4 linked regions of the Schizosaccharomyces pombe genome follow. The main gene of each other region encodes a partner of the protein of the gene in region 4 in a complex. Each region holds a gene or a part of one and is shown on either strand. Other genes may lie near its edges. The genes, in order: mrpl40, mrpl33, mrpl38 and mrpl37.

Region 1 (4,153 bases), on a different chromosome or scaffold from region 4:
CACCTTAATATCGAAAAATATAGAACTAACTTTTACAAAGTTATTGACAGGGATGAACAAAAGCATGAATATACCGGCAATGGCTCGTATCACTCAGCAATTCGAGCGTGAAAATGAAATTATGGAACAGAGACAAGAAATGATTGATGAAAATATGGACGATGCTTTAGAAGAAGATGACGAAGAGGAAGCTGATGAACTTGTCAATAAAGTGTTGGATGAAATTGGAGTCGATTTGTCTCAAGGATTGCCAGATGCTGCGACCCAAATTGGTACGGTACCGGAGTTAAAGACTGAAGACAATTTACAAGCCAGATTGGATGAACTGGCAAAGCGTTAATTTTCGCACAAGAGATTAATGGACTTTAAAGATCTTGATTTGTATAGATTTTCTACATTGATTAGTAAAAGTTTTTCTAGGTTAACGTGTAAACTTCAAATACTTCACTTTCATTGAAATCACTTATCACTTACTCTACTAAGTTAAATATATTTAAGTTTCTTGAAAAATTTTTTAGAAGAGTTTACAAAAGTTTATTAAGCTTTATAACCTAGAGATTGTGAATCATTATGTAATGTTATAAAAAAATGCTTGCAACGACCAAACATCGTTTTTGTTTTAATCACTGTAAGTATTAGGAGAGATGGGTTTTTTTATTAAATCTTCAGCAGCAGTCTCTGCTCGGACAAGATCTTTAGCAATTTCAGTAAAATCATCATTGTTCTTTTTATATCCCCATATACGATCTAAACGGCGAGACCAATTGGCTCGTAAATCGCCAATTGCAAACGGAGGAAGAGGAGGCTCCGATAAGCTAGGAGACCAAGTAACTTTACTAACTACTGGATTCTTAGTATCGAGTTTACCTTCGGGATCTTTAGGCTTATCTTCAGTCTTGGGACGAGGAAGATGAATAGTATGAATTTGTACTCCTTCAATATTAGGCCGAATAATGGACCGGAGATTAGTTGAGGAATGCTTTTTAAGCTTAACTGGAATAAGAACTGGTTCCCCGGCGTCAGTCTTTGCATGCGCAAGAAGACGCACATTTGCATAATGTACTTCGTGAGCAATATCAATTACTGGATCTTGGTTATCTTCAGGCTTATTTCGCAAAAGAAAAATTGGTACTTTGACGGATCTCACATTAACCCCCTCTATGGTAATACCGTTTGTGTATTTGTTTGTCTCAACAACACGGCCCCATTTTCCTTTCAGAGGTCCTTGATGAACATATACATAATCCCCTTTAAAAATATGCCAGAAAGGGACTCTGTCAGCTGGCTTTCCAAACGGTAACTCGGGTTTAGCGGATTTATCGTCTTTAACAGTTGGATCAGATTTATTGAGGTGTTCGCGTATTTTGGTTCGCATATGCAACGGTAAAGGCTTTTTCATTTTTAAGACGTTAGTACCAGGGCCTCGGAGCCTTGGAATTAATTTACGCAAGTCTCTCATTCTGCTCAAAAAGTTTTATAATATTTAAATAACTAACGGTGGTACATCACTTGTACAGAGGAATTTACTACGCTGTAATGTTGGAACGAAAGTAAAACCTCTAGACAGGATAAATATGGCCAAATATAAGAGAAAAAATAAGAATGCTATGAAACAGTAATGTGTATCCTGCTGGTAGTTTGCAGTTGTTATTTGAGTACTCTCTTCGTCAATAAGTAAAGAAATGGATCATTGTTACACAAAGGCAACTTTGCGATACGTGGTTAAGTTTCATTATTTAAAATTTGCTTTTGCTTTTGCACGCAATATTCTACAGCTTCGACATCGTTAACCAACATTAAAATGATGTGTACTCGTTAAGACAATGTCATTCTATCTATTTGTTTATAAGTTTAAAATTGAAAATGTTAAGCGAAATCGTATAGAAACGCTTCGCAAGTGGTTGTGTTAATATACTAGGATGTAAGATTGAAGTTTTGTCGGATAACTCAAACTTAGTCGATACTTCTATTGTTTTCTACTTTTTTTTTAGTATTTGCTGAATTTAGGTAATAATTTTTAAAAGCCTAATATCATTCGTGATTTGTAAACTGGTTTAGAAAACCCGACAAATAACTTGCACTTATATTAAATATTTAACCATAAGGTTTTCCAAGATTATGTTAACATCCGAAAAATGATTGGAACCATCCTTTTGCCTTTCAGGCTCGCAAATATCAAATTTTTGTTTAATTTTCAGATAAATCTAAATACCGATATATAGTGTATGGATTGTTAACCTGTTTAACAGATTTAGGCGTTGGATTAAAACACTATAATTAGAGAAGGTGAGAATAACAAAAAATAATCCAAAAAAGTACCCATCTTGAGCAAAATGGTTATTAGTCAACCTGTTGGACAAATTCGTCTAACCAATGTGTCCGTTGTAAAATATAAGAAAGGAGGGAAAAGATTTGAAGTTGCTTGTTATAAAAATAAAGTTACAGAATGGAGAAACAAAATGTATGCATGATTTCATTAAATTAAGCTACTGTAATTAGTGAGAGTCAGCCTTTGCTACAGATAAATATTCTTTAAGATCAGCAGAAAATTATAACAAGCTATCTTTTTGAATTCACGTGTCTTGTCGACTGGTGTCAACAACTCAATAACTCGTACAATTTTTTTTGATCAAAACCATAGCTAACCAAGTTTAGTGAAACAGATCTGGATGAAGTTTTACAAATCCACAATGTGTTTAACAATGTTTCTAAAGGACATGTAGCTAGCCGACAGGATTTGAAAAAGGCTTTTGGTACAGATGATATAGATAAAATTATTTTAGAAATTTTGCAAAAAGGAGATTTTCAAGTAGGTGAAAAGGAAAGACATCATCAAATGTCTTCAACTTATCGCGATATTGTCTCCCATGTTACTGCGATGTGCATGGATCCTAATTCTAAACGACCTTATCCAGCATCTATAATTGAAAAAGCATTATCTGATTGTGGCTTTTCTGTCTCTACCAGTAAAACTGCAAAGTCCCAAGCTCTGGAAGCTATTAAGAAATTGCAAGAAAAAAACGAAATTCCTATCGTCCGTGCGCGTATGCGCATCAGAATAGTGGTGGATGTCAAACAGGGAAAAGCTTTACGAGAGCGTTTACGCTCTTTAGCTGATGAAATTGAAGAAGAAAACATTGATGATGAATATGAGTGCATAGCTCTCGTGATTCCAGGGAATTATAAGTTGATAGATGAACTTGTCCGAAATGAGACCAAAAACCGAGGTATGGTTCAAGTACTCGACATGAGCGAGGCTAGGACTTAAAAAGGTATACAAATAACCTTTCTGAAAATACGCTCTATATGAATTCCCTAATCTGTTTTCCTCCTCCTTTTTGCTTACATTGTTCATTGGCTTTTGGTTTTGAAAAATTTTGCTATTAAAAGACACGTTCTGATTCGTTCTGGTTATCCAGAACATTATTTAATTTATCAATATAGCAATTCAGTTCAGAAGAAAGTAAAAAGAAAGTAAAGAAATGAAATTAAAAGACTATCGTCCCTTTCATTTCTGCTAGTTCCATTCAAAGCACGCATTCAAATGTGAAAATGAAAGTAGCGTGAGTGATTTGTAGAATGTTGAACCCTTACCACAATGCTTTCAGTTGTTCAACAATTTAATGATGAGGATATCTATAGTGTACGATTTCGGATTGTAATATCACCTATTTACAAACAGTAATTGTAACTAAAGTATACATTTTGCTTAACAGCAGTGTGATATAATACTGCGTTAATACTTTTAAGCAAATTTGACGAAATTCGTAGCATGTTCTTCAGATTCGGTATTTTGCGACATGGAATTGGATTGTGCAATAAGTTTTTGAGACTTCAAACCCATCGTATACTTTTTTTTAACTCTCTTTTATTTGTACTTAAGTTGCTCATTCTTATCTCAATTTTTTTTAGTTGCAATTTTTTGTAAGGATTTAAATTATTTCATTCTTAAATTTTAAATTTTGAGAGATTATACGCAACTTATTAAAATGGGGAAGATTAAAAACAAAATTGTCCGCCAACAGCAGTATATGAAGGCTCTTCATCAAAAAAATAAGGACAAGCTTGAAAGAAGAAAAGAACGTGCTAAAGAAGAAGAAAAAGACCCGGAAAAGAAGAGATTGCGACTTTCAGAAAATATTCCCGCTACTAT
Region 2 (3,860 bases), 970 kb from region 4:
GTAAAGACTGGCAAGTGGAATTTATCAACTGTATTATAGACTGTTAGTTGCAAGCTCGACGAACTTACGAATTGAGTTTATAATTATATTTTAACAAACTTGCACTTTTAAAATTCCTATTTTAACTAGTATGATTTGTAAGTAAGCCTTTAACATCACAATTTATACTGCAAATGAAAAAACCGAAACAACTGATGTTACCATCGAATAGTAGGTTTTTTAGGAAGAATTATTTAACGAGAAGTAATTGTATAAAAAAAATTCTAAACTTTTGGTTACGAAAAACGATCTAGGTTCCTTCGATCACCCAGGTCTGCTGAACTCTGGTAGATAAACTATCTTGAAGAAGCTTCCCCAGAAACCTGTCTATTATACATTCAAGTAATGTACAATCATTGAAAAGTTTTTTTTTAGTGTTCAGTCGAGTGCGAATTTTTATTAAAAAGCGCTAAGCAAGTTTGGCTTAAAAAAAAAAAAAAAGGATTCTTCTTTATTATTGCTTCAAATTTTATTATACTCGAGTCGTTAAAAATATAAACCACTACGAGAAAAGAAAAAAATTGACCAACATTGTAAAAAAACTTATTGTCTTATAGGGTACAGGTTCCTCCTTGCCTCTTCAGACACGACGTCCCATATGGTAGTACAAGATAAATGGAAGAGAAAAGCGACATTAGCGTATAAAAAAAAGCATGACATTCATGATGCACCTGTAAAACCTCGTAAAAAAAATTTGGGAAATAACGAATGGAGATTTAAAAATGCAGGGGAATACTTTGATGAAGATAACAATGAGGAAGAATATCCAAGTTTGGAAAGTTTGAAGACCGTGGGGAATGGAGATACAATTCAAGATGAAGAAGAAGATTTCGAGTATTCAAAACTACAAGCACGGCCCCTTACTGGTTTGGGAATTAGCAACCAAAAACCCAAGTCCAAAGTTCGGACTATCCAACGTGAAGAAGTAGCCGACATGTTGGAGAGCGTTGAGCATGAAAAGTCAATTCAAGAATTCCGTAAGCGTTATAATGTACAAAAGCCAAAGGTAAACATTAGCCATGCTGAAGCGGAAGAAGATATTGATTCTTTTCTTGAAAGTATGGATCAGTCTGCTCCGCCTTCCATTACAGAAGATAAAGGGGAAAATTACATTTCTTCTAATCATTCCAGCATGCATATTTCAAGAAACGACTCTAGGAACTATATGTCTGAAAAGCCAAACAAAGACCAAAGTTGGTTAGATGAACTATTACGATAAATATAACTAGAATGAAAATTTAACTTTCAAACATGTTATTCAATTCTTTTAAACCGTTATTGTATCGATGTATCACTGTAAATCCGCTACTAGAAGCAAGAGACTTCTTTTCTTGCCCAGCGGCTAACTTTTGTTTCACAGTACTGACACTAACGAGTTCTTTTACTTTAAAAATTCTTCCCGCATTGATTGGATTTACATCGCAATAGACTACGGAGTGTCTTTTTGTTAACCTCAAAGAATGCAAAACGCTGCGCACCTTACTAAAATATTGGTTAGCAATTACAAGCATGTTTTTCTCGTTTCCAAAACACGTACCTCGAGAGCCCGATGGCTGACCTTTCTAAACGAACTCGAAAGAATGACATTATGGTAAACTAGAAGTTCGTGGAGTCCGTTTAACACTAAATATTGAAACTCTTTTAGTTCAACCGATAAAATACAATTCATATCGCAAGCTCGTTATTGTTCACTATTATTCACTACGTTGCTATCTATTTAACGATACATTGAATTACGATGAATTTTTTGCGATCCACATTTAGTGGAATGCAGTATATTAACTACAATGTTATATTTATTGTTATAAGAAGTCTATTAGTGTAAGTCACCGATATGGTTAAAAAATGGAGAGGAGCGATTTACAGTAACATCTATAATTATCATCTTTCTAGTAGTTGTAATCACATGGTGTCTATGAGTATAGACGACTACTTATCTGTTTACTGTCAATAAACGGATCTTTACTAATATTCCAACATGTAACATATAGTGATACGCAACCTAGTAAATCATTAGTGTAATGCAGTATTACCGATATATCACAAAAAATTATGTTAATTGGTATTACGTGTCTGCTTCACAATGCTAATATCATATTAACGATGTTCAATGGATTATTATTTTTAAGATGTGAAATTTGGCTGGGATAAAACTTTTTCTTTACCAAAATGGCACTTCGTGCTCAATTCGAGAATTCTAATGAGTAAGTTTACTCAGCTTTTTTGCTTAATAGACGCATGATATTAACAAATTATAGGATTGGTGTCTTTTCTAATCTCACAAACTCATACGCACTTGTAGCGCTTGGAGGCTCTGAAAACTTCTACAGGTAAGCTTAACGTTTATTTGATGCCAAAATTTAATGTTCTAAATGTAAACGATTCAAAATTTTTTTAAAGGTTCTTAAAATCCTTAACCAGTCGAACGTATTATGAGAAAAATAAATAGCACATATGTGAATGATGTAGCCTAACTACTCTTTAATTGAGTAAAAGAGACTTTGCTACATAAATGCAAACCACTACTTAAACTCTGGCGGTTTGCTGTTCATTACCTTTATTATTCCTTGACTCGATGCAGCTCGACAAATTATTTTTTTTGGCATTTTTTACATTTATCAACTTTTCACTAACTTTTATAACAGCGTGTTCGAGGCAGAGTTAGGTGATGTTGTACCCGTTGTTCATACCACAATTGGAGGAACCAGAATCATTGGTCGTTTGACATGTGGTAATAGAAAAGGTCTGTTAGTTCCCTCTTCTACCACCGATAATGAACTACAGCACCTCCGCAATTCTCTTCCAGATCCTGTCAAAATCCAACGTGTTGATGAACGACTTTCAGCTCTAGGAAACATTGTGGCTTGCAACGACTATGTGGCCCTTGTTCATCCTGATATTGAGCGTGAAACCGAGGAAATTATTGCTGATGTCTTAGATGTTGAAGTTTTCCGTCAAACCGTTGCAGGCAATGTTTTAACCGGTTCGTATTGTGCATTGAGCAATCAAGGTGCTTTGGTTCACCCTCGTACTAGCATTCAGGAACAGGATGAATTGTCATCACTTCTTCAAGTTCCTCTTGTTGCCGGTACCATCAACCGTGGTTCCGATGTTATCGGTGCTGGTCTAGTTGTGAACGACTGGTGTGCGTTTGCTGGACTTGATACTACGGCTACTGAATTGGCTGTCTGTGAATCTATATTTAAACTTCAAGATGCTCAACCTTCTGCTATTATAAGCAACAGAGACACTCTTGTTGAGTCTTATACATAAGCAGTCGGTGTGAGCTAACTAAAAAATTATTGATCAGGATTTATGAGTTTGGATAATTCATCCTACGTGATATTTTCCTATTAAAGTTTTAATGTTGATACGTTATACGTATGTATCTGGTTATAAAATTTTTGATATGCCTTTCGGTTTAATAGTCCTATCCATTGTGGTACCCAAGCTTCCTATTGTAGAAATTTACAATACAAGTTTTTTATAGACCATTATAACACTTAAGGGACTTCCGTAATCGTGTTTATTTTTATTATGTCAAATAGATTTTGAAAATGCTTTTATTGCTTTGCTTTTTGTCTGTTCTTAACACATTCGGATTTGTTAAGCTATTCTCGCTTATAGAGTAGAGCTTCTTGCTAACGCTGCATGAGACTTCGTACTTCAATTTACGTGTTTTATTAAGTAGTTTGCAGCCTTTATATTAAAAATGATCTAATAAATATACTTTCTTTTCAGTCTTTGGTGACAAACTAGTTATGGAAAGTATTTCGATGTAGGTATTTTTTGACTGAAACCAATGCGTACTCCGCAAGCGA
Region 3 (3,714 bases), on a different chromosome or scaffold from region 4:
TTTGTCAAGTCTATTATTGCAGTCGCAAATTTAGCGAAAGCGTTATCCAGTGAATATACATTCCAAAAAAGCGTATTAGCTGGTCTTTCAGCTGCAACAAGATCTACAAAAGATCTTACTATCTTACTTTCTTCCTCTGCTCGACATTACACTGAGTCATCTTTAGCCACTCCTGTTCCTTTGATGTCCCCAATAGCCCGCGTACCTGCAACACCGTTGTCAGCGGCTCTGGGTTCGGCTGCTCAATCTATTACATCTCCTCTAATCATGTCACCAGCTGCAATTCCGGCGTCAGCCTATAGTACTAATAAAATCGATTACTTTACTGACGCGGATGGGAACGTGGAAGGTTTACAGCGCTAAAGAATTTTTTAATGAAGATTGATGAGGAATAATTGGTAACTCGATAACTCAAAAGCCTACAAAGACTATAAATTTAATGATACAAAAAATGATGCACGATTGAATTTGATTAATTTATTTCTTATTCAAATAACAAAACCAAGGACAAATTGTAAAGGATGATGGTACAAGTAGTGATTAATCTGTTTCCACATGAAAATCATGTACAAAAATTAGACAGAGTGTGTAGTTTTGGGTAGGTACTCTTTGACAAGACAAAAATTTTTTCTAATTAATTGCTTTGCTTATTTTCAAGTTTCATTTCGCATCTTCTGATGATGTCTTCAATTTCATTGATTTCGCCTGAACTCAGTCTGTGGTACTCAATGCTGGAACTATCAGTTGGAACATCAAGTGCTTGAAATGCAAACTTTTTAGCTAAGGAATAGTTTCCCAGATAATATTGTTCTTCCGCTGCAAATTTTGATTGCTCTAAAATATAGGCTTCTTCACCGAGGACGACGCCATTTTTACTAAGATGCTGAATAATCTGTTAAAATCATAGACAATAAATTGGGAGTAAAAAATGAGTAACATACACCAAAACATTGAACTCTTGGAGTCCATCCATCAGTTTCAATGCTTACTTTCTGTTTTAATCGCTTATTCCGTTCAAGCTTTGACTCACTAACATCAAAATCCAAATCAATCGCCAGCAAATCCATTCTTACTAGAACATTAAATTCTTTTGATCGATCAGATATATTTAACAGATAATGGACTATATAATAAAGCCTGCTACAGCTGTATTTTACTAAAAAAGTGTGTAGTAAAAACCTTTTAACCCCACAATGCTTACGAGTAACAAAACTCCAAAAAAGCAAAATCTTAATTGGCTATCAGGTAAAAAGTGTTTGCTGAAGAGACAAGGTCCCTTAATTAGACGTAGAATAGAAAATTAAAAAATATATTTTAATTAAGTGAAATATTAACATTACAATACCCTTTTCAGATGGTTCGTGGAGCAAGAGATGCTATTTTAGTATGATGTTTTGTTCTGAGCTCGTTGGCAACGACTGACAAGATACGGGTTCCCAGAGGCTCACACTCCTTATTAACCAAGACGCAGGCATTATCATCAAAACGAACATAACGACCATCGGGTCTTCGAACTGGTGATTTCGTCCGAACAATGATAGCATGGTGGATATCACCGCGTTTAACTTTATTAGCAGCAGTAACTGATGAACCGCTTCGTGCCTTTTTTACCACTACTACCACTTCATCACCTGTTTTTTAAAAAAAGGTGATGTTAGTCGAATATAAACAAAAGATCACTTCGTGCTACTTACCAAGTGAAGCGAATTTTCCCGCGCGAACTACACGAATGCACTCAGCTAAGGTAGCACCCTTTTCCATCTTATTAGTACAAATAGTAATATTTTAAACTTACGGAATTGTCGATAACTTTGAGTATACCTTTAAGTCCGATCATTGCTAAAGATTCAAGTACTTGACCATACATTCACGTACTCGCTTCCACTATAAATTACACTATGCGTAATATTAGAATTTGGTATTTGACGTTAGTTGGCATATCGTAGTATGTAACACATCGCAAAATATATAAATAAAAACAACTGTTTGTATTAAAAAAAAAGCGATTTGATTAGATGCATTCAAATATGAAATTATTCCAAGCAAATTGTTTGTCATAACCTGTTATCTTGCTTTAACCTTCTGATGTTTTGCTTGTTACACATGTTTTAATCAAATTCTTCATCATGCATGGAGTTGTGGAATAGTCATTAAAGCAAAAATGTGATATTGACTAGCAATTGCTCTTATCATATTAAAATATCATAATGGATTGTATGCTACATATTTGATTTTGTATTACTCGTTAATTTTGTTGAAAGTGAGAGGAGGATTTGGACGTTAGTGAATCCATTTTATTTTTTGGAAGCAAATGAACTATCATTCTCATCTTTAGACGACGCAGTTTGAAAAAATGCTCTGCGATATGTTTACAGTAAACGCCTTACTAATTTGCGATCCGATTATGAATCTCATTAGCCGTACCCGTATCTGAGCTAGACACTACACCTTGTATCGAAACTTTTAAACTTCTTCAAAATTTCAACTATTACTTGTTAAACAGTAAAATAATATTGGATATCGCTCTTAAGAGTAATAAGGGTAAATAAATGGATAAATTAAGTAGACCGGAAATCAGGCAGCAAACTACTCAACAAATGTATGATGTTCCTGAAAACATCCTTGAAATTGATGTATGTTTACTTTATTATTTCGAAATATTTCTAATAGATGTTATTTTAGGTTATAAATCCACAAACTCACGGTATTGGAAGAAACATGTTTACTACTTATGAAATTGTTTGTCGGGTAGGTACCACTGAAATTCATCTTCTGATAGCAGATTATTAACTCATTTTTGTAGACCAATATGCCCTATTTTCGTCTACATAATTCTAGCGTTCGTCGACGTTACAGCGAATTCGAGAAATTTCACGATATGCTTGAAAGAGAGTCCGGTCGTGTTTCAATTCCACCACTTCCAGGAAAGATATTCACTCAAAGATTTAGAGATGATGTTATCGAAGAACGTAGACAAGGTTTGGAAAATTTTTTACGACTGTAAGTATTGAATGTTAATTTTGCCTTATTGCCCCAAAGAGCGTTTTAAATTGCACAAAAACTAATACATTATTATGTAGAGTTGCTGGACATCCTCTTATTCAAACCCATTCTCGTGTTTTATCTTCTTTTTTACAAAGCCCGGAATTCAAGCCTACGCCATAAACCCGCCGCTAACTTGTTTTTCTCCATTTTGCCCTCCAACTGTTAATTTTTGTCAATCTTTTTTTTTATTTTAAAAGAAAAATTTGGAAATCAATCTGTTACAAAGTTTAATTACCATTTAAAATACCTTAGGTTGTTATGAAGTAAGTTTTCTATTGAGGCTAAAATATAGCAAAAATCCGATTCATCTTTTCGCTGTTTTCGTTTTTTAATTTTAAAATTAACAAAAGTAGCTCCATTCGTCAAATTGAGCGTTTAAACGAGCAAGAGTTGGATAAACCTTTTAGCAGTTCTTGGCACCAAGATTATAGTGATAGTGCATATATTTACATCGGCAACTTAGATTTTGATTTGAACGAAGATGATATTTTATGTGTGTTTTCTGAGTTTGGCGAGCCAGTGGATATTAATTTAGTGCGCGACAAAGAAACCGGAAAATCGAAAGGCTTCGCCTTTCTAAAATATGAGGATCAACGTTCGACAGTCCTTGCCGTTGACAATATGACGAATGTAAAGTTACTTGACAGATTGGTTCGTGTTGATCACGTT
Region 4 (4,118 bases):
AGCGCCAAATATTTAAACATAAAATTTTAAAAAACATATATTTAGTAAACTTATTCAGTGTAAATATACTTATTTCTATTTTCGAATCCTAGCTCTGAACAAGTTCTTGTTCTTTGTGATAATTCCAACGTGTATTTAAAGCAGTATATAAAGGTCAAACACCATCAAATGAACAGTTTATCAAATCTCATGGAACCATTTATTAAACATTATACTTTTTGCTTAAATAAATATTCAAAGTGTTTTTTTTTTTTTTTTTTTTTTTTTTTTAATGCATATGGTAGGAATAGGCATTATTTATTAAATGGATTCGCAAATGGTTAATATTGTGCTAGGAGATATGTTGATTTCAATTGCAATATCTTTTACCTATATTTAAATGGCACTATGTAGAAAGCTGACAAGAGAATATTTTAACAAGCAATCCCGAATCATCAAAAATAAATTAAAATAATTTTAAAAAATAAAAAAAATAAATCGCAGAAGCACAAAGCATAATACTATTGATAAGTTCAATGTAATTTAATTTGGTTCATTACTATTTAAAACTAAATCCCCATCTTATAGTAATATAGAAATAAACAGAAAGTATATACAATTTCTCTACAGGATGAAAGAAAAAAAAACCCCCAGAAAATAAATGAGGGAAAAAAATAGGATATCAAATATTGATCGAGGAAATCACAAGCATTTCCTTCAGTGTAAGAAAAGCAAAATAGGGAAAATCGTAATTGTACATTGAAAGCATACATTTTTACAAAATTGTAAAATTTCTTTATTTAAATCGTTTCCAAAATGAACCGGAAATGTTATAAGCAAAAATATACTAAATAAATGAATTTAAAACTATTTCGGTACACTAAATAATCTCTTATAAATTTATTAAATTTAAATACATAATCTACTTAATACTAATCGTCTCAACGGAGGACAACGTGGCCGAGTGGTTTTAAGGCGTTCGCCTGCTATTCTGTAGCCCAGCGGATTCCCTTTGGGAGCGCAGGTTCGAATCCTGCCGTTGTCGGCATGATTTTTTTTATTTGTAAAATGAATATCGAAGAGCCTTAGAGAAATATGTTATAGGAATTTATCGAGGCAAATAATGAAATTCTAGTAAGAGAATAACCTGATGGTTAAAGCTTGTTTATTGATCTTCTTGCAGATTTTTTATTGTTTTCATGAGATGGATAATACTTTAAATGATTTATGTTCTATCTAAAGTAAAACTTGGCGAAATTTTAAGAAAACACCCATAAAGGTGTAACTATTAACTAAGAAGAGTTCGCAAGTCAGTGATTTATTTTTTTCAATTGTCCCGAGTGACTTAAGACACCGACTAGTACAATTTGTCAAATTTATTGTAAATCTATTTTTCTTTAACAAAAAGTGATTGCAAGCGCTTCTCGATCCTCAATGGATCAGTCGCTAACTGTGTGGAATAAGTACATTTCGCAAGTAAAAAAAATGGTAATTCTGACGTATCGAATGAAGGACATAACGTTAAACATAATTGAATACTAATTCTAAAATCTATATATGTTCTCTTTATTTAAACCGTACTACTAGATTGTTCCTCAATATCCCAAATAACACCTAATGGTTCTTTACCATTTACAACAATCAAGTGATTGTCGAAGAAACATTGCAAGTTGAGAAAAATGAATGAAGTAGAAATATTCTAATGTGCTAATGATTTATTGTAAAAATAAATCATATTATTTTATTTCTTTGACTTTCTTACATAGTCGAACACAGACAAATACAATTTTCGATTAACATTTCTAGAGTCTCACTTGATAGATTGTGCTTTACTTTATTTCATAAGTATTCCTATAGTACTCAAGCGTGCTTGGTATTATTATTGTAAACTTAATGACATTCTTGTTAGAACGACACCCCATTTGAACTTAGCAATAGTTTATAATTATGAAAAAAACAAAAACAAAAATTTTATTTTGATTCCCAAATTGTAAACAGACGCTTGAAACCCTTACATGTACCTGTGTCTGCTACCCATCTGTACATGAGTTGTATAGTAACGTCCAGGTTGTCCCATAACCAAACTCCTTGAACTTTGAAAGCGGCTCTTTATAGAGTCATTTTTTATTTCCTATAGTACTTGAAATAATATTATTCTCTAAAACTTTTCACTCAAAGAGCAGGACGTATTTGCTCCTTATATATGCGAAGGCGTTACTATTGACCTTTTTCATCGCCTTTGATCCACTTTTGGTTAAAGATTTTATCCTCCTTGCAAAGTTTTTTGTTTACTGTCTAAGCAATGCCATTTATCGAGTCAATGGCCCCTTTATCGCGCGCAATTACTCGCGGTATCTCTCAATTCTCATGCTACTCTAACACATTGGTTTTAAGAAGTTCCCGTAACTCTTCTTCATCATTAGTTAAACGAAGTTATGTATCCTCTCGTGTTTCACCCAAAAAGCCACAGCATAATTCGGATGCCACTTCTTCAGCTCAAAAAGTCGCTAATAAAACGCACACTAGTTCTGTCCTTCCAGGTACTATATTAAAGGGACTGTGTATAAAGGCGGGTGGCGTCGACCCTGTAGCTCGTGAAGATCATGAATATCCAGAATGGTTATGGTCTCTTCTGGATGAGCCAGCTCCCAATTCTAAGACTGCCCGAAGTCATGCTCGTAAAAGTGCCATTCGAGCGGCTAACTTTCTTACTAAAAAATAATTACCTTTTAGAATGTTTGAAACTCTTAATTTTCCATCTCCTCTCTATCCTTATGAGCATTTGATCCATTCTTTTTGTTTACTTTTTTTGAGGCATATGACATTCGCTACTTTACCATTTCCCAGAATCCAAAAATCATTTTAAAATAAAAATATATTAAATAACCTTATATCAGTGATATACATTTGTAGCATAAAAAAAATTACTACTACATGTCCTTCTTTAAGAGAAGCATATTCAAACCTCAACCTGCCAACCTTAGAGAAACCGGTATTGCCCAAACTGTGTATCGTTTATGGAATTTGGCTGACGAAAATGTATTCTAGAATTGTATTGAACGATGTTGAGAAAAAAGTTGTTAATCTTTTGAAAAAGACTGCTGATTTTATTGAATCTAAATCCAGCAGCAGTTCGTCATTGGAAGTTAGATTGGCAGGAGGATGGGTTCGCGATAAACTTCTTGGGCTTTCTAGTGACGATTTAGACGTTACGTTGAATAAAGTTACCGGTGTTGACTTTGCAAATTCAATATTTGAGTATGTTCACTCTCTCGACTCTGACTCAGTTATTCCATATAAAGACGCACTTGGCAAGCTAACTGTCAATCCCGATCAAAGCAAGCATTTAGAAACTGCTACCTTATCCCTATTTGACCTTGATATTGATTTTGTAGGACTTCGTGCAGAATCATATGATGATAAAAGTCGAATTCCTAGCGTTACCCCAGGAACTGTTGAAACAGATGCATTGAGAAGAGACTTCACGGTTAACACCCTATTCTTTAACATACGAACAGAAAAAATAGAGGACATTACAAAGCGAGGATATAAAGATTTGCAAACCAAAGTGTTGGTCACGCCCATTTCACCTCTCCAATCATTTTTGGAAGATCCCTTACGAATTTTGAGAGGCATTCGGTTTGCATCCAGATTTGAATTTACAATTGATCCGTCGGTCGTTTCCGCTATCCAAGATCCGAAAGTATGTAAAGCTTTTGAAAAAAAGGTTAGCAAGGAACGTGTAGGAGAGGAAATTGAGAAAATGTTGAAGGGTGCAAACGCGAAGCTAGCACTTCAACTGTTATATTCAACGAACACGTATCAGTTTACGTTCGATACTTTGCCAGCTGAAAAAGAATTTCAAATTCCAAAGGCATTGGAAGCTACCGAGTCTTTATTTCAGAGTCTTGCATTGACGTTTCCTAAACTTATGAAATTAAGTGAAGATGAGAAAATTGGGCTATGGCTATATGTTGCTCTAATTCCATGGTCTAGTCAAACTGTTATGGTTAAGAAAAAACAATTTTATATTCCTGCAATCATCGCAAAAGACAAGTTGAAGCTCAGAAGTACATATGTTAACCAGTTGAATCAGTGCTGCACATTCAATCCGATATTCGATGAATTAGTTAACGATA

What was found.
Region 1: mrpl37 (region 4) and mrpl40 share a complex: the UniProt entries of both Schizosaccharomyces pombe proteins name them as parts of the mitochondrial large ribosomal subunit.
Region 2: mrpl37 (region 4) and mrpl33 share a complex: the UniProt entries of both Schizosaccharomyces pombe proteins name them as parts of the mitochondrial large ribosomal subunit.
Region 3: mrpl37 (region 4) and mrpl38 share a complex: the UniProt entries of both Schizosaccharomyces pombe proteins name them as parts of the mitochondrial large ribosomal subunit.

Annotation. Positions count from the first base shown.
Region 1 is NC_003424.3:2,671,286-2,675,438, reverse strand, and holds mrpl40 (mitochondrial 54S ribosomal protein uL24m), read right to left. Parts: upstream 1,647-4,153; 5' UTR 1,460-1,646; coding exon 620-1,459; 3' UTR 501-619; downstream 1-500. Other genes in the region: ESCRT III complex subunit Did4, read left to right, coding at 41-340; SBDS family ribosome maturation protein Sdo1, read left to right, coding at 2,334-2,461, 2,656-3,268; Brix domain-containing protein Rpf1, read left to right, coding at 3,990-4,153. UniProt on the Schizosaccharomyces pombe protein: Component of the mitochondrial ribosome (mitoribosome), a dedicated translation machinery responsible for the synthesis of mitochondrial genome-encoded proteins, including at least some of the essential transmembrane subunits of the mitochondrial respiratory chain.
Region 2 is NC_003421.2:2,220,946-2,224,805, forward strand, and holds mrpl33 (mitochondrial 54S ribosomal protein uL30m), read right to left. Parts: upstream 1,638-3,860; 5' UTR 1,627-1,637; coding exon 1,577-1,626; intron 1,522-1,576; coding exon 1,278-1,521; 3' UTR 1,259-1,277; downstream 1-1,258. Other genes in the region: SPOM_SPCC1919.07 (uncharacterized protein), read left to right, coding at 638-1,258; tif6 (translation initiation factor-like ribosome biogenesis protein), read left to right, coding at 2,209-2,243, 2,298-2,369, 2,685-3,312. UniProt on the Schizosaccharomyces pombe protein: Component of the mitochondrial ribosome (mitoribosome), a dedicated translation machinery responsible for the synthesis of mitochondrial genome-encoded proteins, including at least some of the essential transmembrane subunits of the mitochondrial respiratory chain.
Region 3 is NC_003423.3:3,549,471-3,553,184, reverse strand, and holds mrpl38 (putative mitochondrial ribosomal protein subunit L38), read right to left. Parts: upstream 1,842-3,714; 5' UTR 1,838-1,841; coding exon 1,796-1,837; intron 1,753-1,795; coding exon 1,695-1,752; intron 1,632-1,694; coding exon 1,351-1,631; 3' UTR 1,294-1,350; downstream 1-1,293. Other genes in the region: leucine-rich repeat protein Sog2, read left to right, coding at 1-363; SPOM_SPBC887.08 (uncharacterized protein), read right to left, coding at 635-883, 942-1,067; sorting nexin Snx3, read left to right, coding at 2,550-2,633, 2,683-2,748, 2,804-3,000, 3,081-3,165; RNA-binding protein Cwf29, read left to right, coding at 3,304-3,308, 3,399-3,714. UniProt on the Schizosaccharomyces pombe protein: Component of the mitochondrial ribosome (mitoribosome), a dedicated translation machinery responsible for the synthesis of mitochondrial genome-encoded proteins, including at least some of the essential transmembrane subunits of the mitochondrial respiratory chain.
Region 4 is NC_003421.2:1,252,264-1,256,381, forward strand, and holds mrpl37 (mitochondrial 54S ribosomal protein mL54), read left to right. Parts: upstream 1-2,054; 5' UTR 2,055-2,281; coding exon 2,282-2,701; 3' UTR 2,702-2,963; downstream 2,964-4,118. Other genes in the region: cca2 (ATP/CTP tRNA nucleotidyltransferase), read left to right, coding at 3,017-4,118. UniProt on the Schizosaccharomyces pombe protein: Component of the mitochondrial ribosome (mitoribosome), a dedicated translation machinery responsible for the synthesis of mitochondrial genome-encoded proteins, including at least some of the essential transmembrane subunits of the mitochondrial respiratory chain.